Linked DNA regions of Mus musculus: all the other regions are reported to be linked to region 7. Evidence: microRNA targets listed by miRTarBase, many of them from high-throughput screens and not tested one by one. Region 7 holds a microRNA gene; each other region holds the end of a gene's coding sequence. Distances are from middle to middle.

What was found. Region 7 holds the annotated microRNA mmu-miR-5135 (AGGUCUAGGUGGCAAGGGCGUCCU, at 1,495-1,518, shown strand). A microRNA usually pairs through its seed, bases 2 to 8, with sites in the 3' UTR of a target mRNA and lowers its output. Matches are read on the target gene's strand: a 7mer-m8 pairs with bases 2 to 8, a 7mer-A1 pairs with bases 2 to 7 and ends in A, and an 8mer does both.
Region 1: miRTarBase lists Ifnar1 as a target of mmu-miR-5135. The part of its 3' UTR that is shown has no 7-base or 8-base seed match.
Region 2: the mRNA of Tox4 is a reported target of mmu-miR-5135. Seed matches in the 3' UTR shown: 7mer-A1 at 3,527-3,533, 7mer-A1 at 1,712-1,718 and 7mer-A1 at 1,540-1,546.
Region 3: the mRNA of Gpr68 is a reported target of mmu-miR-5135. Seed matches in the 3' UTR shown: 7mer-A1 at 2,537-2,543.
Region 4: the mRNA of 6030458C11Rik is a reported target of mmu-miR-5135. Seed matches in the 3' UTR shown: 7mer-A1 at 2,867-2,873.
Region 5: the mRNA of Dzank1 is a reported target of mmu-miR-5135. Seed matches in the 3' UTR shown: 7mer-A1 at 2,870-2,876.
Region 6: miRTarBase lists Dnase2a as a target of mmu-miR-5135. Seed matches in the 3' UTR shown: 7mer-A1 at 923-929.

Annotation. Positions count from the first base shown.
Region 1 is chr16:91,504,763-91,509,062 of GRCm38, forward strand. Ifnar1 (interferon (alpha and beta) receptor 1) reads left to right here. Exons shown (of 11, transcript NM_010508.2): 11 at 293-4,300. The coding sequence ends at 649. Among named protein-coding and RNA genes, the nearest start is that of Mir6367, 21 kb to the right of the region's middle.
Region 2 is chr14:52,292,627-52,296,926 of GRCm38, reverse strand. Tox4 (TOX high mobility group box family member 4) reads right to left here. Exons shown (of 10, transcript NM_023434.3): 9 at 4,244-4,300; 10 at 1,418-3,726. The coding sequence ends at 3,666. It overlaps Mettl3 (methyltransferase like 3), which reads left to right. Exons shown (of 11, transcript NM_019721.2): 7 at 1-8; 8 at 155-263; 9 at 346-411; 10 at 741-853; 11 at 1,834-2,086. The coding sequence ends at 1,945. Among named protein-coding and RNA genes, the nearest start is that of Mettl3, 10 kb to the left of the region's middle.
Region 3 is chr12:100,874,865-100,879,123 of GRCm38, forward strand. It overlaps Gpr68 (G protein-coupled receptor 68), which reads right to left. Exons shown (of 3, transcript NM_001177674.2): 3 at 1,818-4,259. The coding sequence ends at 3,322. Among named protein-coding and RNA genes, the nearest start is that of Gm36572, 17 kb to the right of the region's middle.
Region 4 is chr15:12,807,018-12,811,317 of GRCm38, forward strand. It overlaps 6030458C11Rik (RIKEN cDNA 6030458C11 gene), which reads right to left. Exons shown (of 9, transcript NM_029998.3): 9 at 1,160-3,827. The coding sequence ends at 3,695. Among named protein-coding and RNA genes, the nearest start is that of Gm41274, 11 kb to the left of the region's middle.
Region 5 is chr2:144,471,419-144,475,718 of GRCm38, forward strand. It overlaps Dzank1 (double zinc ribbon and ankyrin repeat domains 1), which reads right to left. Exons shown (of 21, transcript NM_172859.3): 21 at 1-3,671. The coding sequence ends at 3,506. Among named protein-coding and RNA genes, the nearest start is that of Gm46768, 53 kb to the left of the region's middle.
Region 6 is chr8:84,910,286-84,914,585 of GRCm38, forward strand. It overlaps Dnase2a (deoxyribonuclease II alpha), which reads left to right. Exons shown (of 6, transcript NM_010062.4): 6 at 401-1,418. The coding sequence ends at 747. Mast1 (microtubule associated serine/threonine kinase 1) reads right to left here. Exons shown (of 26, transcript NM_019945.2): 25 at 3,035-3,222; 26 at 1,568-2,956. The coding sequence ends at 1,701. Gm38426 (predicted gene, 38426) reads left to right here and starts at 3,050. Exons shown (of 3, transcript NR_103491.1): 1 at 3,050-3,243.
Region 7 is chr12:76,530,361-76,534,660 of GRCm38, reverse strand. Mir5135 (microRNA 5135) reads left to right here and starts at 1,449; the gene lies at 1,449-1,527. Plekhg3 (pleckstrin homology domain containing, family G (with RhoGef domain) member 3) reads right to left here and starts at 1,101. Exons shown (of 19, transcript NM_153804.4): 1 at 843-1,101.

The sequences.
Region 1 (4,300 bases), not on the chromosome of region 7:
ACTTGTGCTTTTGAGTGCAAGAGAACTGGGCTGTCACTTCAAAATGTCTGTGATCCCAGCACCCCTAACCCACCCTTGGCAGCACAGTGCCTGTGTGAGGATTCTTCACAGGTTTACCCAAAAATGGCCTTGAGCCCGGTGGCCTGCTGTGCCTTCTGAGCCTCACAGTCATTCCCGGGATAGCTCATATGTCGTGATGCACACTCCGAAAGGCTGGACATAAAACAGAAGCTAGAGCTGGAGATGCAGGGTTTATTTTAAACAACCTGTTTTCCTTCCCTTTTACCATCAGTTTTTCTCTGAGCCGCCTTCAAAAAACCTTGTACTTCTGACGGCTGAGGAGCACACGGAAAGATGCTTCATCATTGAGAATACAGACACGGTCGCTGTAGAAGTAAAGCACGCGCCTGAGGAGGACCTCAGGAAGTACAGCTCACAGACCAGCCAGGACTCGGGCAACTATTCCAACGAAGAGGAGGAGAGTGTGGGCACCGAGAGCGGCCAAGCTGTGCTCTCCAAAGCTCCCTGCGGGGGGCCATGCAGCGTGCCTAGCCCTCCTGGGACCTTGGAAGACGGGACCTGCTTCCTGGGAAATGAAAAATATCTTCAGAGCCCAGCCCTGAGGACAGAGCCAGCTCTTCTCTGCTGACAGGTGCTCGGCCCAGGCTGGGGGCCGTGTGGAGGAGACAGACTTATCTGAAGTGGCTGCCAGCTTCTGCTGCCAGCTGGAAGCCCTGGGTGCTGTTTGTGCCACAGATGAGGCTCACTGATGTCAGGCATCTGGTGGTTCTGTCTCGGTGTTTGTCCTCTAGGTGACATTTAGAACATTCCGATTTTTAATCCTGCCGTAGCCCCTCAGTGTGTCACAGGTACCATTGTCTACAGCCGCGCTTCCTAACCCATACCTCACCACAGCCGTGGCTTCTGACCAGAAGTCACTGAAACCATGGAGAAAGGGGACACTAACTGGAGGAGCTGGCGTTGTTTAAGATCTCAGTGTGGCCTGGGTGTGCCCGTTGTACTCTAGTACTTGCAGAACTAGAAAATGCCAGGGACAAAAAGCAGGCATGAACCATTCAGTAAGAGAGAAGCTAGTGAACCTGATGGTGAAAGAAGACCGTGTCCAGTCAGTGTTTGTGTGAAGGCCCTGTGCTGCTCTCTGTAGCCTTCCCGTGGTACTTATAAAACCAGGCCGAACCCTGTCCTCTGTCCGGCACTATTCAGGTCCCTTCCCAGCTCCAGGTACTTAAAAAACAAAGTGTTGGGTCCTGGGGTGAGGGAACAGCTTCGACGGCACAGTGCTGCCTGCAGGCGCCTATAAGTGACCTTAGATGAATGCTCCATGAGCATCTTCGGTAGGCAGGACATCCAGCAGTGCTGGTGGCTCCAGGGCAGACTCAGTTGCAGGCCAAAAAGGAAGAGAGAGGAGTCATAGCCCTGCCCCAATCGAGCTTGTTGCTCGCTGCACTGCGCCTTTGTAATCAATCTTGGTTTTTTTGTTTTGTTTTGTTTTTTTTAACTTTTAGGTGATAACATATTCTCAGATATAGCACACAAGAGACACTACACAAATTACGTCTGAAAGTTTTGATAGAAAAGAGCTTTTGACTGGGGTAGACAGCTTGCTCCTCACTACTACCTTGTATCTCAGTCTCCTCAACAGAGAGAGAATGCAGATTGATTTTCATCCTGAGTTTTATTTTCTTGCCCGGTTTCTGGGTTCGGGTGTGCTTTCAAGGCTCTGAACAGCTTGTCTGCCCACAGGGGAGCCCGGAGACCCAGCCTTTTGGCTAAATGTTGCAGGTTCCTGTACTTGAAGGACTCCAGCTCCTCTGTAGAGGGCATGGTCATCGCGGTCTGCAATCACGCTGATACCCAGAAAAATGGCCACACAACTCAAATCTGGTGCCACGCTTTAATAATTCTACCCAGCACGGCCCAGCCCTGTTCACGGCGGAAAAGCTCCTTCTGCCAGGACAGCCTGTGAAGAAACAAGACCTCCGAGGACGTGGCCAAGGAAGGCCCAGATGCTAGCGGGAAGTTGTTAGTTGGCACTCTTTCATCTCTCAACAACTGTGACACAGGTCTTCAGGGTGAAGCCCAAAGCAGCTATCGGTTGCAGCAGCGGGTAAGGAGGGGGCTTCACCTGAGCCTGGCCTTCTGGGCGAGCAGTTCTACCTGCACACTTCAAGACAGCCTCCATGACCCTTTTCACGGCACACCGCCTGCTTTTGGTGTGACCGGGGTTTCCTGTGCAGGCACATGTTCTTAAGGAATGCCATGCACACAGGCCTGAAGAGCTGGCTCAGCGGGTAGAGCACAGGTTGCTCTTGTCTGGGATCTGAGCTCTGTCCCCAGCACCCACAGAGTGCTTCTGGTTGCCTCAGACTCCAGGGGTGCACAAGGCCATGTAAGCAAAGACATGTAAGCAAAGACAGTTGTACACAGAGAAGTCAAACCTTTTTGAAAAAAAGAAACACCACGGGCTGGAGAGATGGCTCAGTGGTTAAGAACACTGACCACTCTTCCAGAGGTCCTGAGTTCAATTCCCAGCAACCACATGGTGGCTCACAACCATCTGTAATAGGATCTGATGCCCCCTTCTGGTGTGTCTGAAGATAGCTACAGTGTATTCATATATAAAATAATAAATACATCCTTTTTTTTCTTTTTTTACTATTGGATATTTTCTTTATTTACATTTCAAATGTTATCCCCTTTCCTGATTTACCCCCCTCCCAGAAGCCCCCTATCCCATCCCCCCTCCCCTGCTTCTATGAGGGTGTTCACCCACCCACCCACTCCCACTTCCCTGCCCTTGATTCCCCTACACTGGGTTATTTATCAAGCCATCATAGGACCAAAGACCTCTCCTTCCATTGATCCATGACAAAGCCATCCTCTGCAACATATGCAGCTTGAGCTATGTGTACTTCTTGGTTGATGGCATAGTCCCTGGGAGTTCTGGGGCAGTGGGGGGTTGGGGGGAGTCTGGTTAGTTGATATTATTCTTCCTATTGGGGTTGCAAACCCCTTCAATGCCTTCAGTCCCTTCTCTAACTCCTCTATTAGGGACCCCGAGCTCAGTCCAGTGGTTGGCTGCTAACATCCACCTCTGTATTTGTAAGGCTCTGGCAGGGCCTCTCAAGAGACAGCCATATCAGGCTCCTTTCAGCATGTACTTCTTGGCACCCACAACAGTGTCTGGTTTGGTAACGCTGTACGGCATGAATTCCGAGGTGGGACAATCTATGGGTGGCCTTTCATTCAGTCTCTGCTCTACACTTTATCTCCATATTTGCTCCAGTGAGTATTTTGTTCTCCTTCTAAGAAGGACAGAAGCACCCACACTTTGCTCGTCCTTCTTATTGAGCTTCATGTGGTCTGTGAATTGTATCCTGGTTATTTGGAGCTTTGGGGCTAGTATCCACTTATCAGTGAGTACATATTGTGTGTGTTCTTTTGTGATTGGGTTACCTCACTCAGGATGATATCCTCCAGATCCATCCATTTGCCTAAGAATTTCATGAATTCATCGTTTTTAATAGCTGTGCAGTACTCTGTTGTGGAAATGCACCACGTTTTCTGTATCCATTCCTCTGTTGAGGGGCATCTGGGTTCTTTCCAGCTTCTGGCTATTAGAAATAAGGCTGCTATGAACATAGTGGAGCATGTGTCCTTCTTACCAGTTGGAGCATCTTCTGGGTATATGCCCAGGAGTAGCATAGCTGGGTCCTCAGGTAATACTATGTCCAATTTTCTGAGGACCGGCCAAACTGATTTCCAGAGTGGTTGTACGAGCTTGTATTCCCACCAGCAATGGAGGAGTGTTCCTCTTTCTCCACATCCTCACCAACATCTGCTGTCAACAGAGTTTTTAATTTTAGCCATTCTGACTGGTGTGAAATGGAATCTCAGGGTGGTTTTGATTTGTAATTCACCAATGACTAAGGATGTTGAACATTTCTTTAGGTGCTTCTTGGCCATTTGATATTCCTCAGTTGAAAATTCTTTGTTTAGCTCTCTACCCCATTTTTTAATAGGGTTATTTGGTTCTCTGGAGTCTAACTTCTTGAGTTCTTTGTATATATTGGATATTAGCCCTCTATCGGATGTAGGATTGGTAAAGATCTTTTCCCAATCTGTTGGTATTGTTTTGTCCTTTTGTCAGTGTCCTTTGCCTTACAGAAGCTTTGCAATTTTATGAGGTCCCACTTGTCGATTCTTTTTTTTTTTTTTTTTTTTTTTTTTTCGAGACAGGGTTTCTCTGTATAGCCCTGGCTGTCCTGGAGCTCACTTT
Region 2 (4,300 bases), not on the chromosome of region 7:
CTCTGGGGGTAAGTAGAAATTATGTTGCCTTTTTTAGGAGAAATGTAACTTGACAAGTCCCTTCTCTCAGTGTTCCTGCCAATCTGCCCTTGTGTCTTGTGCTGTGCCTCAGCTGTGAAGCTGGTTAAAGCTCAGGTTCTCTCCTATGCTCCAGTTATGAACGGGTGGATGAAATCATCTGGGTGAAGACTAATCAGCTGCAGCGCATCATTAGGACGGGCCGGACGGGTCACTGGTTAAACCACGGGAAGGAACACTGCTTGGTGAGGAACAGGAGGAAGAGGGGGAGCTGCTTAGGAGACTGAAGGCTGTGGTTGTGTAAACAGTGTTCTCTGTGATGAGCAGGTTGGTGTTAAGGGAAATCCTCAAGGATTCAACCAGGGCCTGGACTGCGATGTGATTGTAGCTGAGGTATGTGTCCCCTGTGCATCTAAAGCTTTCAGACTTTCACTCAATACTCCTGTCAGTCTCCATTTTTTTTTTTTTTTTTTCCTCATTTGGGTAACACAGACCAGACTAGAATTGCAATCTTGAGTAACTTTTTAAAAATTTATTTTTATTTCATGTGTATCAGTATTTTGCCTGCATGTATGTCTTTTTGAGGGTGTCATGAGCTGTAGGTCTTGGGAATTGAAGCCAGGTCCTCTGGAAAAACAACCAGTGCTCATAACTGTGAGCCATTTCTCTATCTATTAAGCAATCTTGAATAACTTAAAGTAGCTTGAGTTTTTATTTTCTAGGTTCGTTCCACCAGTCATAAACCAGATGAAATATATGGCATGATTGAGAGACTGTCCCCTGGCACCCGCAAGATTGAGTTATTTGGACGACCACACAATGTGCAGCCCAACTGGTAACATTAAGAGAACAGGCTCTTGCCTCCCTACCTCCTGCCCGTCCCTCCCCCAAAAAACCCTTTATGGACAAAGACAGATGTCACTGAGTTGTATACATTCTGGTAGTCTAGATGGCTTAAGCTTTACCAGAATCTACAACATTCATTAGAACCCAAAGGGCTGTTCTTAAAGCTCTAACTGCCCAAGGATCGTCAGCTATTCTGTGGGCTATATTAAATCTGCCCCCTAGTGGCTACTAAGTATTTATTCAATCTGTCAGTTTTAATGTTTGATGCCAATGGTGAGCATTTTAATTATCCAAGGACTATTCACTAGCAGTGACTGAATGAAGTAGGCCTGGCTACCATCAATTACTAATCCTTAGATAGACAGATCCGGCTGGATCTTGGGGCATGAGACTGAAGCAGGAGGATTGCAAGCTTAAGGCCTGCCAATGCTTATTTAGAGGTCTCAAAAGGGGAGGGGGGCTGGTAGTGTTAAGAGTTTAAGAGTGTATATGTAAGGTGCCTAGGTTCAACTCTTAGGACCACCAAAGAAATTAAAATCCAATCAGTTTTTGTATTGACACTGCCATATTATTTGCTCTGATCTTTTTAAAAGTTGATGTAGGCCGGGCGTGGTGGCGCATGCCTTTAATCCCAGCACTCAGGAGGCATAGGCAGGTGGATTTCTGAAGCCAGCCTGGTCTACAAAGTGAGTTCCAGGTCAGCCGGGGCTATACAAAGAAACCCTGTCTCAAAAACCAAACCAAACCAAACCAAAAAAATTGACGTGGACTGGGCATAGTAGAGCACACCTTTAGCCTCAGCACTTGGGAGGCAGAGGCAAGTAGATCTCTGAGTTCAAGGTTAGCCTGGTCTACATGGAGAGTTAGTTCCAGGACAGCCTGAGATAGGTATCACCAGAAAGTAGAACATTTTAAGTATTAAGCCCTTACAGGATTTTTGGTTTGCCTCTTCTTTCCCCCTTGTTTTAGGATTACTCTTGGAAACCAACTGGATGGGATACACCTACTAGACCCAGATGTGGTTGCCAGGTTTAAGCAAAGGTATCCGGACGGCATCATCTCTAAACCTAAGAATTTATAGACGCACTTCCTTACAAAGCTAAGCGTTCAGAGCCATGGGCTACAGGCCACACCTTAAGAGGACTGTTTACGCAATAGTGTCCCCTACCCTGTATATAAATAAATAAAAGTTTGTATTATAATTGGAATTTCTGAAGTGAAATTATGGCTTTCCACTTAGTGTGTGTCCTTGTGCTACTCTTATTTAGCGTGATTCATTATAAGTAAAAGAAGAATGTTAGCTACCTAGCGTGTTAGAAAAGACTACACAGGTTCACAGTGCTTAGCAATTAATATGCTATAAACAGGATTAATTTGAATTTTACCATGCATATGGTACTCTAAACTTTTGCTTATTCTATGTACGTTTGCTGGTTTATTAGTCTGTAGCTAATTTCTAAGAAAAACAAGGTACCTTCAATTAAAATTAGAGCTTAGAATATAAAAAATTGGCCTATGCATTATGTAAATGAATGCACATTTAAAAGATGTTTCATCAAACACAGATTCTTTACTTTGTAAAACCTCTTATTAGGGGTATAGAGTTCTGCTTCTTACATGCAAAACTGGTAACCAAGTCAGGTAAAGAAATACTTGTACAGAAAAAGATCGTTTTGGATGATGTCGTTTCCCCTCTAGCCCAATGTGCTAAGACTGAGACAAACAGAATTTGTGTGTTTTTGTCAGGAGCAGGGAGGGGGACCTTAAGATAGGATCTCACTAGGTAATCCTGGCTAACTTCAAGCTCAGAGATCCAACCTGCCTCTTGCCTCCTAAGTTGTAGGATTAAAGGGGAGTGCCACCACACCCGGTCTATTTTTTGAGACAAAGTCTGATTTAAGTTCAGATCAAAAATCTTCCTGTCTACTTCCAAAGTATTAGGATTAAAGGCACGGGCCACCATGTTCTGTAAAACCTTTACCTCATGCATCTTAGACTGTTCTCAAACTCACTAGTGGGCCAAGGATGACCTTGAACTCCTGATCTTCCAGCCTGGGGTCTGAACTCAGAGCTTTATAGTGCTAAGCCATAACCCCAGGCCTTCAAACCTTCCTCCTAATAGCACTGTGTATATCAATAATAGTTCCCTTTTAAAGGGCTATCACACATTTTATTTTAAATCAGTATTTTCATTCCTCCTTCACTTGGGATTTAAACCCAGTGCACTTTACCACTGAGCTGAAACCCTAAGTCTCTCTTCTCCCAGAGCTTTTTCTGCCGAGAACAAAGCAAAGCACTCGCCCAATGACATTCTAGGCAAGTTGTCTGACCGTTTTACTGGTATGTTTCTTCTAATGACCCCTATGATTTGCTCCCATCACTCTTCCCTGTGCTTGCTAGTAAGCTGGTAATTTTGCTTACAGTTGAGAGTAAAAAGCAATTCTAAATTACAGTGAATTTGCTGGCCCTGCTACATAGTCTGGCCTCTGCTGAAGAAAGAAAAGGGAGATGGAGGCATGAAGGACTATGGGTAAAGGTCAGGCACTACAGAAGCCCAGTTTGTGTTTAAAAAACAGGCTTTTGGCCGGGCGGTGGTGGCGCACGCCTTTAATCCCAGCACTTGGGAGGCAGAGCAGGTGGATTTCTGAGTTCGAGGCCAGCCTGGTCTACAAAATGAGTTCCAGGACAGCCAGGGCTACATAGAGAAACCCTGTCTGGAAAACCAACAAAACAAAACAAAAAAACAGGCTTTTGGACTCGTGTTCAGCAGATGAATCTTCAAGGCTTGGAGAAGACGAAGGCTACTTCACAAACACCACAGAGTTTGGATTTCTAGAGGCCACCCAGGCCAAGAATACATCCCTAAGAGAGAAAGATACATACAAACTTATTATAGCAAAACCATACCCAAATATTTCCCTACATCTCCAAAGTATAACATCATCAAGTAGCCTAAAAGTCAGATGTGGTAGACTGTGCCAATCCACCTCGTAGAGGACACATATGCCCTTTCACGGATATAGGTAATTCCCTGGGATATTTTGGTAGAAGGGCAAAGTTTTCACTTACTACTCACCTTCTCTACACTTAGCATTTACTCTGCTACTTTCCCCCTTACCTATCCCTCACCAAATTCTTTGACACTGGTAATTGAAATCAGGACCTTACCCATGCCAGGCAAGCAGTTGTCAGTTGAGCTACATCCTCATCTCTAAGCAATTGAACATCTAGGAGCATCTCTAATCAGATACCTACCCACCCACACATGTCAAGTGGCTCTGCCTAATAAGGTCATGCTCAGTCCACACGGGTACGGGTACCATGCTCCCCAACAGTTTCACTTCACTACCTCTTGATTTATAAGGACTGTTAAACTCACCTGCAGTGCTTCACCACACACTCATTGCTGCAGTACTCGTTGTCCCAGTCCTTACTG
Region 3 (4,259 bases), 24 Mb from region 7:
GTTGTTGTTTGTTTTTGAGGGGTGTTTTTTAGTTTGTTGTTATTTGAGACTCACTATGTAGCTCTGACTATCCTGGAATTACTATGTAGACCAGGTTGGCCTCAAACTCACAAAGATTCATCTGCCTCTGTCTCCTGAGTGTTGGCTTTCTTTATTTTTTCAAATGTGGGTTCTAGAAATTGAACTCAATTTCCATGCTTACACAGAAAGCACTTTCCCAATTAAGCCTTCATCTTAGACCCTTTTCATTGGACATCTTAGAAACGTAAAATAAACGTGTATCAGCCACTTATGTTTGTCATTTTCACTATGATTTGGGGCTAGGGATTGACCCCCGGGCTAACCATGAGATATTCCCTTGCCCCCCCCCCTTGTTTTACAGCATTGTGATGTGACTTGCTTGTTGCTCTAATTGAATCCAGTTTTGCTAATCTGAGTTGGAAGAATTATCATTGAGAAGTGTCTTCAAACAACAGTCCCCAGAGGGTTACATCACATCAGAGACAGCAGATAATAAAGTGATTCTTCATTGGGGTGCTTAGAATTTAAGATACCCCTGGAATGGCTTGTCTGCACAGTAGTGACTTAGTTGCCACTACTAGTGTCTGTGGAGAGACTGGACTGAGGGACCCAGACAAGGTTCTTTGCAGTGAGGAGTTTGGGTATTGTGACCTCTCTGGAATACTCCAGCACAGACAGCGAATATCTCATAGAGTGGTATTCCTAAGATAGCTGCTAACTGAGAGAGAATGGAATTGAGATCTTCCCATTCCCACCAGAGCCCTGGACACTGAGACCAGATGAATTCCAGGAATGGAGACTCCATCCCTAGATGCATAAAGCAGTTGGTTCAGCTTCTGGCTTTCTCTAGAACACAAGCTGGTGGGAAGCAGCAGATGGAGATGTGCTCTGTGCTGAGGCTCTCTCCTACTCTCTTCGGGCCAACCCACAGTCCTGTGTAAACAGGAAGATGAGTCCTTGTATTACTAAGCAACACTGGGGAGTAAAAAAGGAATTTTAATGGCTTCTGTCACCTTCAGTCCAAACCAGATGGACGTTTGCTCCCAGTCCTTCTCTTAGGAGAGAAAGCAGGATTAATCCTTAATAATATTCTTGCTTAGTCTGTTTGGAAGAAAGAGCTATTCTTCCATAACACTCCAAAACTCCAGGAGCCTGATCCATAGAGGGATTAAGTGGTCAAAATCAAATTTATGCTTCAATAGGATGTGGGCGATCCTTAGTGATAAACACGGAGTCTGATGCTGGTGAGAGGATGCCCCGGCAGACAGAGGTTGTCAACAAGCAAGGTGGGCGGCTGCAAGCAAAACCAGTTGGTTCTGGGGAAATGCCAGAGATGAGTGAAACAGGCTCTTCTTCTGGTCTGATGGGGGCTCACCCTTGCGGGGGGGGGGGGGGAGGGGTCAGGGGGGGTCGGGGTTGGGGAGATACTCAATATGCAGAGTCCCATGTGGTCAAAGACAGAGGGAGTCTTGTTCGCTAAACCACAGGGCTGGGTGTTGTCCTTAAAAGTCCCAGGGTGAATCTACAACACCACCTGCACAGATGCATCCAGGGTAGCTTTGCAACATGCTGCATGGATGTATGGGCTTTGCCATGCTGCACGGATTCATGGGCTTTGCCATGAGGCAGAAGAGAAAACTCTACTGTCCTTGTGGCTTGGGCTTAACCACTTGTTAGGCACTCAAATGCAACCCCCATCTTGCCCTTGGATCTTTCTATTTGGGGTCTTTCAAGGACACACCTGATCTTCCTGGTGTGGGTGGAGTCTCTGCCTATAAGGACTGCACACACTCTGCTATGATTGGCTACTTTGTTTTATTTGCTGACTGAAGTCACTACATAAACCCACCTCACAGTCCAACACAGGGATACTTGGCATAAGAGAGAAAACAATACAAAAATACAGCACTCCTTAGTAAGGGGAGCTGGGCTTAGCTTGCTCCAGTCCAAGCCAGTGAGAATCCAGAATTTCAGGTCAAACAGGGGAAATACTGTGGGATGAGGAGGCACAGAACACTTAGCTATCACCATTGGCCTGTAAGGACCGAGGCTGGGGAAGGTGTAGGTCTTTCTGGCATGCAGCCATCTCTGCCAACTCTCCTATACCAAAATGCAGCTTAAGCCAAACCTGTGGTCACGAGACATGATTGTGTGTGTGTGTGTGTGTGTGTGTGTGTGTGGTTAGTTCATTGCACTTAGGAACTCTGGGAAACTGTCACTGTCACACTCCTCTCAAAAGCTGCTGGATGCTCTATGGTGCATGGGGAGAAGGGTAGGAATTACTGACAACAGATACATGATCCTAGTTAGTATCAATGTCTTGGCATACAGTTGCCATGGACACCCTGCCATTTTTTTTATATTCTCCCTCTTTCTTCTCCCTTAGGCTCTCAGGTCTGACACTTAGACTAGACGGACACAAAAAGCTAATTAGGGCTGGGCAGTGGTGGCGCACGCCTTTAATCCTAACACTTGGGAGGCAGAGGCAGGCGGATTTCTGAGTTCGAAGCCAGCCTGGTCTACAGAGTGAGTTCCAAGACAGCCAGGGCTACACAGAGAAACCCTGTGTGCCAGGAACTTGGCTAAGGACGCAGTTTTAGGCCTAAGTCTTCTTATTAAGCTTTAGTACGATGTTTTGAGGGCCCCTGACATCTCTCCGGCATCCCTGGGGTTTCTTTGCCATCAGCCCTTGGGGGTGGGGCCCTGTTCCATAAGTTCTGTAAAGTGAGACGTGCCTGATGCTGGGGTTTCTTCCCTGACTGCCTCTCTGCTGTTATCCCTAGCCACCAACCCCGCCCCTGTTCTTCACCTTAACCAGTCCTCTGGCCTAGACTAGTTTAGAGGCAAGCTCAAATACTGATGGTGGCTATATAGCTTCCTGTGTCACACAAGACCATAGCACACTTGGGCTGGTATCGTCTGTGACAACAGGGGCACTGGAAGGCTTGGCAGGTGACCACGCAGGGTCCTACCCTCCTCTCCGCACCCCAGGCCTGCTGCTCTTTGCAAATCTCCTGGAAGTGACGATGCCGACTCCCTCCCATCTGCAGCCCAGGCGGCCACCAAGAACATGGGAGGAGACAGGGCTCATTCACACAGTCAGCAGTGCCCAGGCTCAGGACACGGAGCAGGTTTCCAGGGGCCAGAGGGACCTGGCTGTGGCCCAAACCATGGTTCCTTCCTGAGGAGAGAGGCACCCGTACATGGTAAAGTGGGAGACAGCCACCATGCAAGCTCCCGACCACAAGGCCTGTTGGTGAAAGCTCAGGGCCTAACTTAGCCTCATACACGTGACTCAAGCTAGGCCAACCCCACTGTGGAGGGCCCTCCCACTCCCAGTGAGCTAGGGGTCTGGAAGGCTGAGTGGAGCTTGGTTAACAATTCAGGTTCCTCGCCCTGGGCCCCACTTTTCCCAGAGGCCTCAGGGGCACCCAGAGGGTAGGCCTCCCTGGCCCTGCTTGTCCTAGAGCAGGTAAGGACAGCTAGGCAGGCTCCTCGGAGGCGGGCTAGGTCCCTGTGAGTGGTCTCACTGACAAAGCAGTACAGCACCGGGTCAGCTACACAGTTGAAGCTGGTGAGGAGGAGGGAGAAGTGATAGACGTTGAAGATGCTCTTGGCAAACTCACAGTTTCTCTCCCAGAGGCTGCGTACCAGCAGCAGCACGTGGTAGGGTAGAAAGCAAGCCAGGAAGATGACCACGGTGCTGAGCACCAGCCGCTGAATCTGGTCCTTGCGGCTCTTCTGTGTGCCGTGGCTGCGGCGCACAGCCCGCAGGATGCCCTGGTAGGAGGCCAGCAGCAGGCAGATGGGGAAGAGAAAGCCCACCAGGAAGCGGTAGTAGTTGATGCTACGCTGCCAGGCCTGGATAGGGTAATGCTCAAAGCAGACTCGGTGCTGGTCCTCGTCCTCAATGACCTCCTTGTGATTGAGGAAGTAGATGCTGGTCAGCAGCTCCTTGGCCCAGATGAGCACACTGACACCCACGGCTGCCTTCAGGGTGCGGAACTGGTGGAAGCGGAAGGGGTGGGCCACAGCCAGGTAGCGGTCGATGGAGATGCAGCAGAGGAAGCCCACGCTGATGTAAATGTTCTCATAGAGGAGGATGCCACACACCTGGCAGGATAGGTCACCATGGGACCAGTCGTCGTGCTGAAGCACGTACTGCAGCCAGAAGGGAAGTGAACAGATATAGAACAGGTCTGCAATGGTCAGGTTACACAGGTACACTCCCAGCTCAT
Region 4 (4,300 bases), not on the chromosome of region 7:
CCGCAGCACCAGTTAATAATTTACATCCCAACCTGCTACCCACTCCCCAAGGTTTATATAGCCCTTATTAACCCCCTAATAAAGAAGCGGTAACACTGAAAACTCTCAGAGAAGGCTTCTTCCTCCACAAAAACAACCCCCCCACCATCGCCCCCCCCACCCCCGGCATTCAAGACAAGCGTGTTCCTGCAAACCCACCCGGCCTGGATAAGCCTGGACAAACCTGCTTATGCTTTCATGCCAGGCAGCTGAGCTACAGTGCCTGAACACACGGAAGGCAGAAGCAGAACTGGCCTGCGCTGGTGCCCAGCCAGAAGTCTCATCCCTGCTGACTACTGTCCACAGTGCTGGAAGGTACTTTGCATGTTGGAGGAGTAAAGTGGTCACTGGCATCACCTGGCTACAAACCCTACAACTTACAAACACGGTTTCAACAGTGGTGCAAGCGTTACGATTGGATTGAAGACTTTGTTAAGATGGAAGATATGCTTGGCACTGCTCAAGTGGCAAGATACCTGGGACTAAATTGGTCATAGGGCTAAGGGGAAAACCTACTAGAATCTTGCCAATGGTACAGAGCAATGAAATGACTCCTAACGACACACTGCTATACGCATAGATCAGAGTATTGTCCACCCCTCATCAGAGATGCTGCTTTGTCGTAATTAATTCAGAAACCCATAACTGAGCAATGGGCAGAGCTGGAGACCTCGGCGCACAGCCCTCAGTGGAACGTCTCCATTACCCCCTGCCCTCAAGACTTACGGATCTACGTGGAAGAGGAGGTGGGAAGATGGTGAGAGTGGTGGATGACACCAAAGAGAGAAGACCGACGGGCATGCGAACTACAGAGACTGTGGCAGCACGCACAAGACCCGCAAAGGTTAAAAGCAGACAAAATCCCAGCACTGAGAAGAGAAAGTAGGAAGAAAGCCCTACCTGCTACTAAAAAGCTATCTATAATTGGTATTTTCTGGGAAAGGGGCAATGAGTTTAATGAGTTTTCTCCAGAGGAGCGCTACTGGGCATGTCGACAATTCTAGTGGCAAGTACCATGAAAGGGGCAGTTGGCCTACACAAAATACTCTTGTGTTTTTTGTGTGTGACTTTTGGTACCTTTTTTGACCTTTTTTTTTCCTCTTTCCTTTTTTGTTTTTGAGAGATAGACCATGGAGTAGGAAGGGGGGATCTGGGAGGAATTATACAAAATACATTGTATGTAAAAATTTTTAAATAAAAGTTAAATCTTAGGGAGTTGAAAAGATGGCAGAGCAGTTAAGAGTACTGGCTCCAAGTCCAGGGGATTGGACACCTTCTCTGGCTTCCATGGACACTAAAGCCATGTGGTACACACATATACATGCAACACACTAAAATAATAAAAAATTAAAAATGTTAGTAGATGCTTATTTTATTTAGTAATTTAAAAAGTTTTATCCAACCCAGGTTTAAAAAATGATGACTCACATCAGAGTCCACTGCAGTTACAGTAACCCATCAACAATAAAAAACCAAAACCAAAACAGCTAAAACTCAATTAAGTCCATGCACTGACACGAAGAAGAATTAGTTCTATAGTTTGACCTGAAACCCTTAAAGCTTCCAAATACAGGATTTAATTTCATTTTGCACATAGACTAATTTATTCCTAGAAATGTCTAGTTATAGAACTCTTTAACAAGACATTTTCAGAGCTTAAAAACAATTTTACAGTTCTGAGTTTGGAAGAACACAAATCTTTTGATTATCAGGATGGAAGGCTATCAGTTGGTTTTATTTCCACAATACAAACAAGCTTTCATAGTATTGGATTTTTGTCAATTTCCTCAGTGCCAAGAGAATTCGCCAGAGGAAAACATGAGCACGGTAGGAAGAGTACGCACCGCAGGGCAAGGGTAAGGCATCCTGGAGAACTGGCCGCTTCGAGGTAGGTCACTCTGATCCTGGCTACTCCCCTCTCCAGGCCCACGTGCAGGCGAGGGTTGAAAACGGGCTGTGAAGACAAAAGCTACTGTGCTCGCCAGGAGTGATGGATATTTATTTTTTCTTTACATATCATCTTACCCTTTAAAGAAATTAAGCAGTTATAAAGTAATTACTGAACAAAAGTGCAGGGAACAGGCAAGCAGAAATTAGCTTCTAGGATAAAGACGGTCCCATTCACGCCTGGTGGGGTGGGAACTCAGGGTAAATAGTAGTGGCTGCAGCCACTCTCTGGCTAAGGGCAAACTTGGCTCATTAAATATATGAAGCATCATCTTCAATGCACGGCGCAGAAAACATTCTCTTCTCTATGCAGTGACAGGTCTTTCCAATAAAAACTTTATGTTTATATGTTTACATGTGGGTATGTACACGCATGCGTGTGTAGTTTTGGAGGCCACAAGAGAACACTGGAGTTGTGAGGTTGTGGGCTGCCATATGGGTACTAGGAACTGAACTCCAGCCTTCTGCAAGAGCAGCAAGTGCCCTTATCTGCTTAGCAACTTTCTAACCACTCGACTGATTGACTGACTGCCAAGAAAATGACACCTAGTGCTTAAATGCTTAATGCCAACTGAGGACTATAATGACCACCAAGGCAAAACTCCCAAAAGGCGTTTCCACTGTAAGCAGCTGGGCAGTGGTGGTGCACGCCTGTAATCCCAGCACTTGGGAGGCAGAGGCAGGCGGATCTTTTGAGTTTGAGGTCAGACTGGGCTACAGACCGAGTTCCAGGGCTATCAGGGATACATAGAGAAACCCCGTCATCTCAGAAAATCAAAACCAACCCATCAAAAACAAACGGCCGGGCATGGTGGCGTACATCTTTAATCCCAGCATTTGGGAGGCAGAGGCAGGCAGATTTCTGAGTTCGAGGCCAGCCTGGTCTACAGAGTGAGTTCCAGGACAGCCAGGGCTACACAGAGAAACCCTGTCTCAAAAAAAAACCAAAAAACAAACAAAAACCCCAAACCAAACCAAACCAACCAACCAACCAAAAAGAAACAAACAACCCAAACAAAACCTACAACAACAACAAAATTTTGCTTAGGTGTATTCAACCAGACCCCTTGCATACAAACAAGTCTGGAGAAGATCCAGCAACCGCGTGGGCACAATTCCAACACGCTTAGCGCGGCAGACTTTCTGCAAGCACCGTCATGGACTGGCAAGGGTCTTCTGACATGCCATCTGCGAATGTTACTTTATACTTATGGTCAAGGGTGCCCTGAGAGCCGACAGTTCTCCAGACGCAGCCGTGGCTCTCCCTTTTCCCTGAGACTGCTGTGGGCCCTTATTTGCTTCTCAGGTCTCCCACACGAGGACAGAGCAGCTTGTCTTTAACAGAGTCTGGCTCTCAAAAGTGCTAAGTAAACATCAGCGAATAAATAAATAAATCTCATATCATCCAAACCCTTGTTGGGGAAAGAGAAAAAAAAAAAACCCCTCTTACAGAATCAAAGGCAGCGATGGGAAGCAAGGAAGATAACAGACAGTCTCCATCAACCGGGGTAACGGATTTGATGTGAAAACAATAAAACCAAACAAGAACCCCTGCGTCTACCCCAAGTGTTGTATGTGGTTGGTCACTGATACTTGCGTGGAGATTTCTGATTCCAACTGAGAGTTAACAAGAAAGTGCACTCTGGAAGCCCAGAAACAAAAGCCGGGTCTGTCACTGCGCCAAACTGCACAGCAGCCTAGCACGGTCTCAGCTCAGAGGGGACTCTTCTGAGTACACCAGGTGAGTGTCCAGGGTCCCGTAGAGTGAGTGCAGCACATCGAGGACCTTTCCCTGAATCATGTCAACTTGTTCCGGAGGACAGTAATCATCCAGACTTGACCTGGAACCAAGCGGAAAGGGGGCAGAGCAGAGTGAGAACAAAGTCGCCCGTGTGGAGGCACAGCCAGTGCACTGCTGCCAGCGAGGGCCACAGGCGACTGTGGAGTCACGGCTGAGAGCAGGGAGATGCTTACCCCACTTTTGGTGCTTTACAGGAATTGTCCTTTATTGTTTTCTAAAATGATATTCTATAGGACAGGTATAATACTAAGGATTGGTATTTGATATCGAGATGGGACATTGCTAAGCAGACCCCAAGGCCTCAGACTGGTTGTGTAGACCAGGAAGGTCCCACAGTTCCTGTGACCTTCCTGCCTTTGCCTCTAAGTGCCTATCTTAAGCATGGCTACCACAGCTGAACTCAGGCCTGTATTGTTGGGTGGCAAGCACTTTACCCTCAGCCACCTCCCCAGATCACCTTCAGCAAGCTCACCATCTCCACATAGGTGAGAAAGGGCTGTATTTCAGGGTAAG
Region 5 (4,300 bases), not on the chromosome of region 7:
GAGGAGATCCCACAAGCCTCTTCAAAGACACACCTTCAACCACTAAAAGACATCTCAGCAGCCCACATTTCTTAAAGCTTTACTCTTGGGACTCCTCTATTCTCGCCTATTTCTCATAACTCAACTCAGAGATCAAACCACTTTAACGTGAAAAGGCACCTTCAGGACTTTGGCTGTCAGGAACGTAACACAGAAACAACCCACATGGTCACATCACTGAAGAAGCTTACCGAAGGGAAACAGACCACTTACATTGTTATTTCACAGTATTAGACACAACCAAAAATCCCGTTTCAACATCTTAACCTTGAGACTAGGTAAGGGGTCACCAGCTCCTTGCTGTCTGCCACGTGGATGTCTCTGGTAGGCAGGAAGGTGCAGCTTCATTTCTCACAGGGCCCTAATGGTACATGGTACGTGAGCTGGCCTACGTGCTGCCTACACTTTAAAAAGATGTACATTCAATGAATCTAGAATACGTGGAAGGCCTGTGTTCGAAGCTGAATTGTCTTGGCAGCTTTCAGACTCTCAGACTTGATGGCCCAGTTTTGTAGATAATATTTTGGCTCAACACTTTGGGTAACCTGAACTTAATTCAAACCTATAGACTGCATCTGGCCAAAAACCCCAACCAAAAAAACCCTACAGCTCCTCCTGGGTTCCTACAATAGATATTGAGACTTGAAGATAGAAAGATCCAGACCGGGCCAAAATGGTAACAGATTAAAAACAATGGAGAGCTTTGCTTTAGCAGTCACAGGAGACAATGTACCTGCTGGAGAATACGATTTTTGTCTCAACCTTACAAATTCAACTTTGCTAAAGATGGAGGACTCTGGGAGATTACAAAGGGATCAGCCTGTGAAGTTTACCGAGGCCTTCAGGTATGTTATGAGGGGAATGAGGTCAAACTGTCATCAGCATAAGCTAGTGGACTTTATTATGAATTTACCTAACATCAACAGCATAGGTAGAGCATAGGTAGGCTCTAGAGAATGTCCCTTTAGTTGGGCTGTCACCACCAATCAGTTAAGAACTCAATAGTCCTCTGATTCCACTAATGTCCTAGACAGACAACAGTCTGGAGAAGTATTCTGCTAACCAGCTGCTCCTCCCTTGAGCCATGCAAGTCCATCCATCAGATGACCACTCCATCCCATCAATTCCTCCAGCACGGTCACAGAGCCTCTCTCTACTCAACTGCACTTAACATTTTTGGCCTACATACCCTCTTTTGTATGTACTAAGAACCATAGTGATGCCATTACCATAATATTCCAATATCTTTAGCTGGTCTGATTTCTCTGTCTTCTCTCGACACTTTCTGTCTGTGCTTCCAAATGCTGTATCTAAGATTGTTCTATGCCAACTCTATAAGTGTGCCAGTATGTGTATCTGTGTGGGAATAGTTCCATGGTTTTCAAGGGAAATACACAGAACATATAACCAGGCAGAGTATTTGGGGTTCACATTGGTCAAGGGTTTGTAGAGCGACTTCTGGAAAAAGTAGCTCTGAGGACTGTGGGATCATAACTACTATTGGGCCACTGATTGTGACCAACTGTGTCACCCATTACACAGAGAGGCAGGCAAGGTGGCAGTTACCCCTCTCTTCAAGTGGACTCACATGTACTATTCTGTAAGTAAAAGGAAGAGAGAGAGATGCTGGAGGCCCAGAGTTTCTCATACAATGTGGAATGTTCTCCAAAGGAGGGGCCTGAGTGTTAGACATTTTGCTAGATGGCAGAAAACAAAACACCAGACACAGAAGCATCTAATAGCACTAACCAGATGTCCACATATCTGTAGGAAGAGACCTCCTAGGTCTCTTATAGACAGTGGATCTCTTTCCTGATGGATGTCCTGAACATTACAGCAAGTTGGGGGAAGAGGAACCGCCACTAAGAAACAGAATGTCATGCTGAGCAAGTGTGGTCTTGCTTTCAGCAGACTTAGCAGAATCTAAGTTACATCCATATTAAACCCATTCCTAGGAACATATTTCTTTGATCCTTTGTAGGAAAGAAAGAGCCAGTCTGTAACGCTGTCATGCAAGTAGAACTGTTTCCAGTCATCTGTCTGCTGTGGGTGAGGGGTCACCACCAGGCAGGGAATACTGCTGGGCAGAGGGGGAAGAGCCCAGAGATGGGCTGAGTCCAGTTTGAGGGAGCACAAGACAGGTTCATCCCATTCTGGATCCTGGGAAGAGACTTTTCAGATACACTGTCTGCTCTCTGCTAAGGAAAGGACATAGCCGTTCTGCTATGAATTCTTACAAATTATTTAATTAAGCTATATTATAGGGAAGGATATATACGTGCTATGTACTTTTATGTTATCCTCCTTGTGTACATATACATATGTGATTATATAATGTTGTACCACCTCTACACAGACATGGCTGGTTCTAAGGATGAAACAGTGGTTTAAGAACCTGGATGAGAACTTTATTATATAGTACTTTATACTTTTGGCTTTAAACCACAAGTGTTATTATCTATGGAAAGATAAATTAATAACCAGGCTGGGAATGTAGTTCAGTTGGTAGAGTATTTGGTTAGCATGCATGAAGCCTTGGGTTCAATCCCCTGTACCACATAAAATCCAATGTGGTACAAGTCTGTAATCCCAGCACTTAGAAGGTGGAGGCGGCAGGATCACAAGTTCAAGGTCATCCTCAGCCACATAACAAGTTCAAGGACAAGACACATGAGACCCTGTCTCAAAACAACAATAAAGAAGAACAAAAAATCAAAAACCAAATTTCAAAATTATCAATAAAATATTTTTAAAAATCTGGACATGGTGGCACATGCCTTTAATGCCAGCATTTGGGAGGCAGAGACAGCCTGTGTGTTTAAGGCCAGCCTGGTCTACATAGCAAATTTCTAGGCCAGCCATGTCTATATAGTCTCAGAAAAAAAAAGGGAAAACAAAACAACAAAACAGAAAATAAAACACAAAACTTTCATTTTATCATACTCTAAGGTATAGGTGGTATTGGGTAGTTATACCACCTTAAAAAAAAAAAAGCTGTGTTTGTTTGTCACAACCTGTAATCTCAGCTACTTCGGAGGCTGCGGCAGGAAGATCCCACGTTGTTCAAGGCCTGTCTATGCTATAGGGGGAGTTCAAGGCCAGCTTGAGCAACTTTATGAGATCTTATTTCAAAATGAAGAAAGCTGGGGATATAGCCCAGTGGTACAATGCTTGCCTTAGCATCTGCAAGGCTCAATCTCTCTCTCTCACACACAAACACACACACACACACACACACACACACACACACACACTCCTCTCTCTCTTCTCCCTCCCTTACATACTCTCCCTTCTCTCTCTCTCTCTCTCTCTCATACACACACACACACACACACACACACACACACACACACACACACACAGTCTTATGAGTTCTTTTCAACCGTAATTCTTACACTTAAATACGCATTCCAAACTAAGCCCAGCTGTAGCTGGGCAGTCTCTGCAGCCTCCTGACCCCTCAGATCTAACTGTCACCTAGGATGCGGTTCCCAGGTGGAGAAAGTTGGTCCTCCAGACCTTGGGTGAACTTAGCGGCAAAGAGAGAAGAGGTGAGGTCATCTCCCATCTCCAGAGCGATGTCATATGCTGTCTGGCCTCTTGTGTTCTTCTTTTGGGCGTTTGCATTGCATCTGCGAAGGAAGTGGAGACACAATCACTCAGGCGTATGACCCTCAGAACTTGACCCTTCCTTGCCTAGAAGCCAATGTACCCCATAAAAGCCCCTAAAAAGACACTATGGCTTCAACTCTCAGAGTGACTCTACTTGTTGGGGTATACTATGTAAAAATGTGTCTCTGTCTTTCCTCACCTGCCTAAGACATTCTCTGATTGGCTTTAATAAAAATCTGATGGCCAATTAGCTGGGCAGAAAGTGGAAGGTGGGACTTCCTGGGAGGGAGAAAGGAACTCTAGGACAAAGAAGGAAAAAAAAAGCCCTTTCATGTCACCAGGGAACATGGGAGGAGACAGACATGATCATAGGCCTGGAAGGTATAGCTAGCCACGTGGCTGGATGGGGTTAGGTGGTCAGGTGAAGTTAGATGAACTGGTTGAGAGTCTGCCCAGCCAAGGCCTAACTAAGGTTCTGAAAATTTTTTGTTTGTTTGTTTGTTTTGTTTTTTGAAACAGGGTTTCTCTGTGCAGTCCTGGCTGTCCTGGAACTCACTCTGTAGACCAGGCTGGCCTTGAACTCAGAAATCCGCCTCTCTCTACGTCCCAAGTACTGGAATTAAAGGTGTGTGCCACCACCACCTGGCTA
Region 6 (4,300 bases), not on the chromosome of region 7:
CCCTTAGTGGGTTGTGAAATAACACATAATTGTTTGGTAAGGATTCCCTTTAGGGGTGTGGGGAGGCAGGCCCTCACTGTGTATCCCTGGCTGGTCTGGAACTCTCAGAGAGCCATCTGCCTCTACTGTCTCAGCGCAGACTTTAAAGGCTCGAGTCTCCATGCCCAGCCTATGTGTTTGTGTAAGACCTCTCTGTACATTCCAGGCTAGACTCCATCTGAGAGCCTCTTGTTCCAGCTTCTGAGTGTTAGGGCTGCAGGTGTGACCTGAAGAGGGACCTGACCTGTTAATAGGGGCTGCTTAGGTTCACGTCATTCCAAAAGTAGACATTTGAGCCGAGCAGGAAGCCATACCGAGGAATGTACCAGTGGCCCTCACCTCATCCTTCCTTCCCCTGCAGACCTGTACTCCGGATGGTTGGCAGAAGCCCTTGGCACCAACCTACAGGTCCAGTTCTGGCAAAATTCTCCAGGCATCCTGCCCTCCAACTGCTCTGGAGCCTATCAGGTTCTGGATGTGACACAGACAGGATTCCCTGGCCCATCTAGACTAACTTTCAGTGCCACAGAGGACCACTCCAAATGGTGTGTGGCCCCTCAAGGGCCCTGGGCCTGTGTGGGTGACATGAATAGGAACAAAGCAGAGACACACCGAGGTGGCGGCACAGTATGCACCCAACTGCCTTCCTTTTGGAAGGCCTTCCAGTCCCTGGTGAAAGACTGGAAACCCTGTATAGAGGGGAGCTGACTGAAGCCCATCGGAGCAAAGGACTAAGACTCCGCAGTCTAACCAGGTGGGGGCCGGACTAGCCTTTACCCCAGCACTTGGGAGGCAGAGGCAGGTGGATCGATTCTCTCTCTCTCTCTGGTTTTTCGAGACAGGGTTTCTCTGTGTAGCCTTGGCTGTCCTGGAACTCACTCTGTAGACCAGGCTGGCCTCGAACTCAGAAATCTGCTTGCCTCTGCCTCTGTCTCTTTCTCCCAAGTGCTGGGATTAAAGGCATGCGCCACCACTGCCCGGCTCAGGTGGATCTCTTGAGTTCCAGGCCAGCCTGGTCTACAGAGAGTTCCAGGAGAGCCAGGGCAACACAGAGAACCCTTGTCTCAAAGAAAAGAAGAAGAAGAAAAAAAAAGAAAAACAAGAAAAAGAGAAAAGAAAGAAAGAAAGAAAAGACTCAGAGACTAGTTTTGACTTGAATTTGTTTGTGTGTCTGTTGGTGGGTTAAACCCAGGGCTTACCACATGGGACACAAGTACAGTGCTGCTGAGCCACACTCCCTGTCCCAGCTATGAATCTGAATACCAGTTCAGTCCCTTCCTAACTGGAGACCTTAACAGTGCCTTAACCTCTAGCTGTCTGTTGCAAAATGGGCATCACAGCATGTCTCTAAGAGGTTGTTAATACAACCAACTCTGTGCATGGCACTGGTAACCTTTTTCTTAAGATGGAGCCCAAGACACAGACCAGGGGTGGGACACCTTTTCCTTACAAAAGCTGTTACCACGTGTGGAATTGGCAGTGGATGGGACATAGGAAGGCCCTAATGAAAGCCACCTTCTTACTTTCTGAGAAGCCAAGGGCCATTCCTGTCCAGAGAGGAGGTGTGAACCCCAAGAATCTCAGGCAGCATGGGCACTTTATTTATATGTGTACATATGTATACAGGCATCTGTACAGCACAGCACCGAAAGCCTGCTCCGCTATGGACCTAGAGATGCAGGGCTAGGTGCCCCAGTTTTGGTGAGGCCTGCAGGAGTCACAGCTTCAGCAGGACACCGGGAGTTCAACCCTGCTTCAGGCTTGGTGCCTGGGACCATGAGGGAAGCAGGTGGGACTGAAGGAGCTGCACTGCGGGGTACATTCTTTGTTGGGACTAGGGTTGGAGTCTGGGGGTCAGGAGAGAGTTTGGGGGAGGCGGGCTTAGAGCGAAGTCCGCTTAGCGTGGTCCGCTCTTCCACCTCCTCTAGCACCCAGCGCTCCCTGCCCCTTGGGGCATCAGGCATCAGAGGCATCTGGGCTACAGGTTCCTTCAATCCCTTGGAGTCTGTGCCCAGAGGCTGGGGTGCCTGGGTCTTGACCCCTGGCCGAGCAGGCTCTACAACAATGGGCACCGGGGGTGTGCCTGCCTCACCAGAGCTACTGCGCCGGCCTGTCTCATGTTCCTGCACTGGACTTAGCGCTGCCTTGGCCAGGGCCCTGGCCACCCCACCTGGGCCATCCTCAGTCTGCACGCTCTGGTGCCTTGTGCAACCCGAGTCACGCTCCAGGGTCCGGCTCCCAGGGGTTGTCGCGCGAGGTGGGGTGCAAGCCTCTGTACCTCCCGCGGAATCCTCCTTGCTTGACGCCATAGGTCTCTGGACACCATCGGGTAGCAACGGGTCCGCGCCCAAGCTTAGGGGTGATTCCTGGCGACCCAGGCGTCGCACGGCGACCTGCCGGGTCGCCCCAGGACCCTCAATAGGAGGCGTCTCACCATCAGACTCAGCGAGGCTATGCAGGGCCAGCTCACCATGGAAGTCCTTTCGGAAATCAGGGTGTCCCACTTCCAGGCTGTGTTTGCGCAGTGCGCCCTTCTTGTCTGCTCCCAGCGAAGCCCCTAGTTTCTCCGCTGACTGCACGCGCTTGAGCAACGGCGAGCGTGGTGGCTCTGCACTTTTGGGGCGCGGGCGCACGACAGGTGGCGATGAGTGTAGTTTGGCAGGGAAGCTCTGCGTGGTATGTGAGCTGCCCACCGTGTGGCCTGGCAGCGGCGGCGGCGACGCCTGCGTCGGGGATGGTGTGTGCGCTAGAGGTGACAGCGGGATGTTGCCAGCCGATTTACAGCGCGCTGAGCGGTACTGGCGGTGTAGTTTCGGTGACAGCCCGTGCAAGGTGCTGGGCCTGATGTGGTGCGAGGCGGATGAGGCGGGGGAATTAGGCGTGCTGGAAGCTGGCGAGCTACTCTGTGACGAGGCGCCTGCAGGCCAGAGAAGGTGCAAACATTCTGAGCACCTCAGTGTCCTAGTCCCCTACCCCGCGCAGGCGCAGAACATACCTAGGTAGGCGGAGTCAGGTGTAGAGCGATAGCTATGTGTGGGCGAGCGTGCGGGTAGTCCGTGCGTGGGCGAGCCCGGAAGACTGTCGCTGGACGACAAGGACCGGTTCAAAGAGGACAGCGATCGACTGGTGTGCAGCAGGTTCGACTGCTTTGTGATCTTCCGAAAGAGAGAGCTCCGCTTCTTGCTGGAGGACAAATACCAAAAGGTATTTATTTGTCTTTCCTTAACTTCGGAGCTCTGGATCACCCCCACCCCCACCCCACCCCGGTTCTAGACTAGGCAGTAACCTCCTACCTCTTTCTAGCATTTCCCCTTTCCCTACAACCCGTTTATCAAAGCAGAACTAGAGTTCTGCTCAGTTCTGCTTGACCGTGCCTTCTCTTTTTCTGGCTACGGTACAATGCAAGAAAGCCCATCCAAAAAAAACCTCCGCCTCTTCTGGCCCCTCCCAAACATCTAGCCACACTCCTTTCCCCTGTAAGCCCACTTTACAGGTTAGTTCGCTTCCTTCAAATCGACACACGAGTCCTGGTCAAATCTCTCTCTCTCTCTCTCTCTCTCTCTCTCTCTCTCTCTCTCTCTCTCTCTCTCTCTCTCTCTCTCTCTCTCTCTCTCTCTCTCTCTCCTCTGTTCTGTCTCTCTCACAGACAGGGTCACTATGTACTTCGGGCTACCCTAGAACTCTTTGTATAGATAGGACTGGCTCTGCACTCACAGAGATCACCCTGCTTCTTCAAGGATTAAAGGCATGCGGCCCTTTGTCTTTGGGGCTAGAGAGATGACTCAGCAGTTAAGAACCGTGGCTGCTCTTCCAGAGGACCAGACTGGCTTTTCAGCAGTATGTGGCATCTAACAACCACCTGTAACTCTAGTTCCAAAGAATCTGGCGCCCTCTTCTGGCCTCTGCAGGCATCAAGCACACATGGAGTACACATAAACAGAAGCAATCAAAATGCTAATACAAATTTAAAACAATAAAAACTAAAACAAAACTGGTCTGTTGGGGCTGGAGCCATGGACAGTTGGTTAAGAGGGTATATTGCTCTTGATCGCCTCTGTTAGACAGCTAACTCACAATGCCTGTAACTCTAGCATCTAGGCAATCCAACCAATACCCTCTTCTGGCCTTCAGAGGCACATCCACAATCAGACACAAACCTATACATAATTAAAATGTTTTAAAAATTAAAATAAATAAGCCTTTTCTCTTTCATCTAGAGAGGTGGTTCGGTGGTATGAAGATCTGGGTTCAGTCACACACA
Region 7 (4,300 bases):
ACTGGGAACCCTAAGACTAGGGTTCTCTGTAAGGTGCTCTAGTACTGATCGGTTGCTGGGAGGGTTAACAATCTTAACAGCCCTTAATCTACCAAGAGTTTAGCGACTCTAGACGATATACTCTCACCCAACTTTTAGCACCACCTCGCAGCGCCGCTTTCTCCACCCTCCAACCATCATGCGGCTTGTTCCGGTTTTTTTTTCCCCCCTTTGTTTTCAAAAGTAGCCGCAGAATAAATCGTTACCACCAAAGGAGCATCTTGAACGACTGAAGCTTGAAGCTTCCCAAATCAAAGGTCTGAGAGAAGGGTGTGAATAACCAAACCAGTTGAAGGGAGTGAAGGAGAGGCTGTTAGGGGCAGCATCAAGGGGCTCTAGATTTGCAGCTCCTGGACACTTGGCTTCTGACACCCACTCTAATCCTCCTGGACATGCAGCTGAGATTCCCAGAAGCACGGTGTGGCACCAACCCAGAACAGACTGAGTGCCTGCGCACTCCTGGGCTGGCGGGACCAGAGGCGAGTCCTTCTAGAAGAGCCCACAGTCTCAGGCAAGCACTAGCCCACGGGCGTCAGGGCACACAAGGAAGGGGTGGCGGGAATGTCGAGAGCTGCCCGGATTTCAAACTCTGCAAAGCCTATGCTGCTTTGGTTTCCGGGGTGGGGATAAAAAGTGACTCCCCTTACGACCTTCCCGCGACCCAACCTCCTCCGAGTGTGTCCGAGGCAGCTCGGGGCCAGGTCCTCATCCCACAGAGGGCTAGCCTGGGGTCTCCGCAGAGCGCTGCCACTCAGCCAATCGAGCATGGGCAAAGAGAGAAAGGCAAACCTAGGGACACTCACCAAGCGGTGGCCGCCCCGCCGGCTCGCGACGCGCCAGGCGCGCGGGGCTGCCCAGGTGGCGCCGCGAAGCGGGCTCGAGTTTGAAAGTCGCTCTCGGAAGCGGCAGAGGCCGCCGGCCGCTCCCGCCCACGGCTGGCCGCCCCGCGGTCCCAGCCTCTGCTCGCTGCGAGCACCAGACGCCGGGGGACCCCCGAAATGCGCACGGTTCCCCAGCACCGGGCAGGAAGTTGCGGCCGGAGTCCAGGCTGCGGCGGGAGGGAGGGAGGGAGAGAGAGAGGGAGAGGGAGGGAGCCAGGGAGGGGCGGACCAGGAATGTTTCCAGTGGGTGGAGACTGCGCTCGCGGCTGCGATCCAGCAATTGGCGGCTCTGGGGGGCCCGGGGGAACCTTCGCGGCGGTGCGAGCGAGCTGTGGCTCCCGCTGTAGACAGCGGCCGCCGTGGCTAATGATTAACGCGCGTGGCCCGCCGTGTGGGTCCCGCTGGCCGCCTCCCCTTGCCACCTGGAACTCTGGGATCCCAAGGCGCACGTGGTGGGGTTACTCTAGTGCCACCGCCCTGATATCACGCCGAGAGGGCAACGAAAGCCTCCAGACCAGGTTCCGACCAGAGAGGACTCGGAGCCCAGCCACCTAGACTTTCCCAGGAGAAGCGCAGGTCTAGGTGGCAAGGGCGTCCTGGTCCTACTGGAGCAGGTCACCACGACCGCTGAGTCAGAAAGGCACGTCTCGAATTCCTCGCCGAAACTAGGTTTCGGTGGCTCTTTACAGTTGTAAAATCTTACCTTCTGAGGAGAAAGAGATAAGAAGCGCATAACTTGGGGCGGGGCGGGGCGCGGCGCTCAGTGGGACTGTTAATGAGAAAAACTGATCGAGGAACCTGAATGTCAGTGGACCCCATTTTGAGTGCGATCTATCAACAAAAGGCATGTACCGGGAAATTAGGGGATGGGAAAATTGGGGGATGATTAGCACAAGCACATAGAATACAAACCAGTTAGATTTTGAGCAAGAACATAAATCTTTTGTGTGGTTTTTGTTTTTGAAGCAGGATTTCAATTATCTGAGACTGGCAGAGGGTAATCTTGAGAGTAATGGTTCTCCACCCTCTATCTCCGGAGTGCTGGGATTACTGGTGTGCACCACCACGCCCTAATTATTGTTTTTATTTTATTTTTTGATTTGAAACAGGCCCACACTTTGTAGCCCAAGCTAGCCCAGAACTCTTGAGTGATCCCCCAGAGTGCTAGAATTATAGGTGTGCGCTACTACACCTCACTAAGAATAAATCTTTCATTGGTAAAGATCTTAGGGGAGGTAGCATTAGATGCTGTCCCCAGTACGCACCATGAAGAGGGGTAGGAGATGGGAGCCCAGTGTGAGATCACAGAAGAAGTAGGACTCCTGCGTTAAACGATGGCACCAGGTTCTTGGAACAGGAATGGAGAATCGACCCCAGTAACTCAGCATTTAGACCGCCAAGTGTAGACAAGTGAAAATCCTAAATAGCTTATAAAATCCCCTCCTCCACCACTGCCCTCAAAAAAAAAAAAAAAAAAAGCTGCCCCAGGGAAAAGCAAGCACCTAGTGATTTACGGGGAGGGGCGGGGCAGAGAGAGAGGAAATGGCTTTCAGGTGACTTTGAAACGGGATCCCTGGGAAGAGTAAAGATTAAAGTAGTCCTTGCTCCTGACTGCGGGAGGGCCAGAAAGTAAGGCTCACGTTACTTAGTCCACAGGTTAGGCTTGAAGAGCGGCAGACTAGAGGACAGCACTGGTGAGAAACAAGATTACCCGGGAACGGGGGAGAGAGATAAAACTACGGGGTGGGATGGGAAAGGGAGAAGCCCCACTCCTTCCCACCTCGAACTTTCTGGGTTTCTGGTTTCTTCTCTAATCTGTTAAATCTTACCAGTCCTTTCCTACTAATCTTAAACTCCCAACTTCCAAAGACGTCCCCCAGCCCCAATCCAGAGATTTAAAACTTTTGAATGTATGACTGGCTCCTTAGCTAGAAAAGAAAAATAAAATGTTGATGATAGTAATGGTTAGGGAATGGTGCTACCAAGTGCACTGCACTTTATAATCACTAAGGCAGGAATACACTTACTCCCATTTTGCAGGAAGAATACTGAGGCTCTAAGGATGGAGCAGTCTGGCCAAGATCAATTGCATCAAGGGGCGTAGTCTGAGGGGGCGACACTGGAGTGCTTACTGTGTTAACCTTTGAGCATTTTACAAGAACAATTGCGGTTACAGGAGAAACTGAGGCTTGGTCATACTGCTAGTGGGTGGTAGAGCTGGGAGTTTCTACCCACAGGGAAAACTGCATTTAGCCAGCCAGCTCTTTCTCCACTTCCTTCTAGACACTTGTTAGTCCATTCTGAACTTGATTCTAAAGCCTCGAGTTGTTTCTAATTGCTTTAATTTATATGCCCATTTCCTGAAAAGATTGTAATCTTACTATGCAGAACTTGTAAGAAGCATTCAATAAGGCCATGCTGGAGCCAGATGAAACAAGCAAGATTTTATAAAAAATCAGTTTCCTACCTCCAAGCCTCCAAGAGTCAGTGTCAGGACCAGGGTCTCAAGCCGAGCCGCAGCCCCCTTCTCAGCGTTGAGCCTTTCTGCCTTCCCACCAGCTCTTGCTTCAGCGAGCGGCCTCGCCCTGCTATTAAATCATTTATTATTATAATAACACCTTGAGTCTCAGTAATGCCTTTAATCTGAGGTCTCAGGGTGTCTAACAAATACAAATTAATTCATCATCTCAGCCCCTCCACTTGGAAGGGAGAATGGAGGTGTTCTCCCTAGTTTATGGATGAGAAAACCAAACAACCAGAGTCAAGATGACTCACAGGGAACCAATGCAGTTTCTCATCCCTTGCCTCTGACCGCCTGCTACCAAGCCTCGCATGAAAGCTTCAAATCCCAGACGCCAAGGCCATTGAGTTTTCACAATTGTCATTTCTGCTGCTCCACTGTGAACATCAGGAAAGGGAGGGATGTAAACACAGGCAAGAGATCCCCTGGGGCTGTGATCCCGGGCTGTGAGGAGGGGCCATGGCTTGCTGCTGCTGACAGAACTTCATCCCCAAACATGGAAGAAATCCTTCTCAAAGGTGACCCTACTACACTCAGAAATCTGTGCTTTCAGGGTTGCAAGTTGCGTTTTAGCAGAGCCTAGCGTGGACAGGGCTCTGAGTTTGAAGCCCAGCACCACAGAAAACAAGAAAAAGTGTGTCACATACAACAAAAGGGGGGAAAAAGATGATAAACTTCACAGTATCAAACTTTTCTGTATTAGAAGAGTGAAGGTCTAGGGGTTGCAAGCCCGGTGGCAGATTGCTTCAGTTACATGTATGAGGTTCTGTGACTAGGACTGAAAATAAAATTGCCAGGCATTTGATCCTGGCTTTCAGGGCCACATAGAGACTCCAGCCTGGAATATAGAGTGAGACTT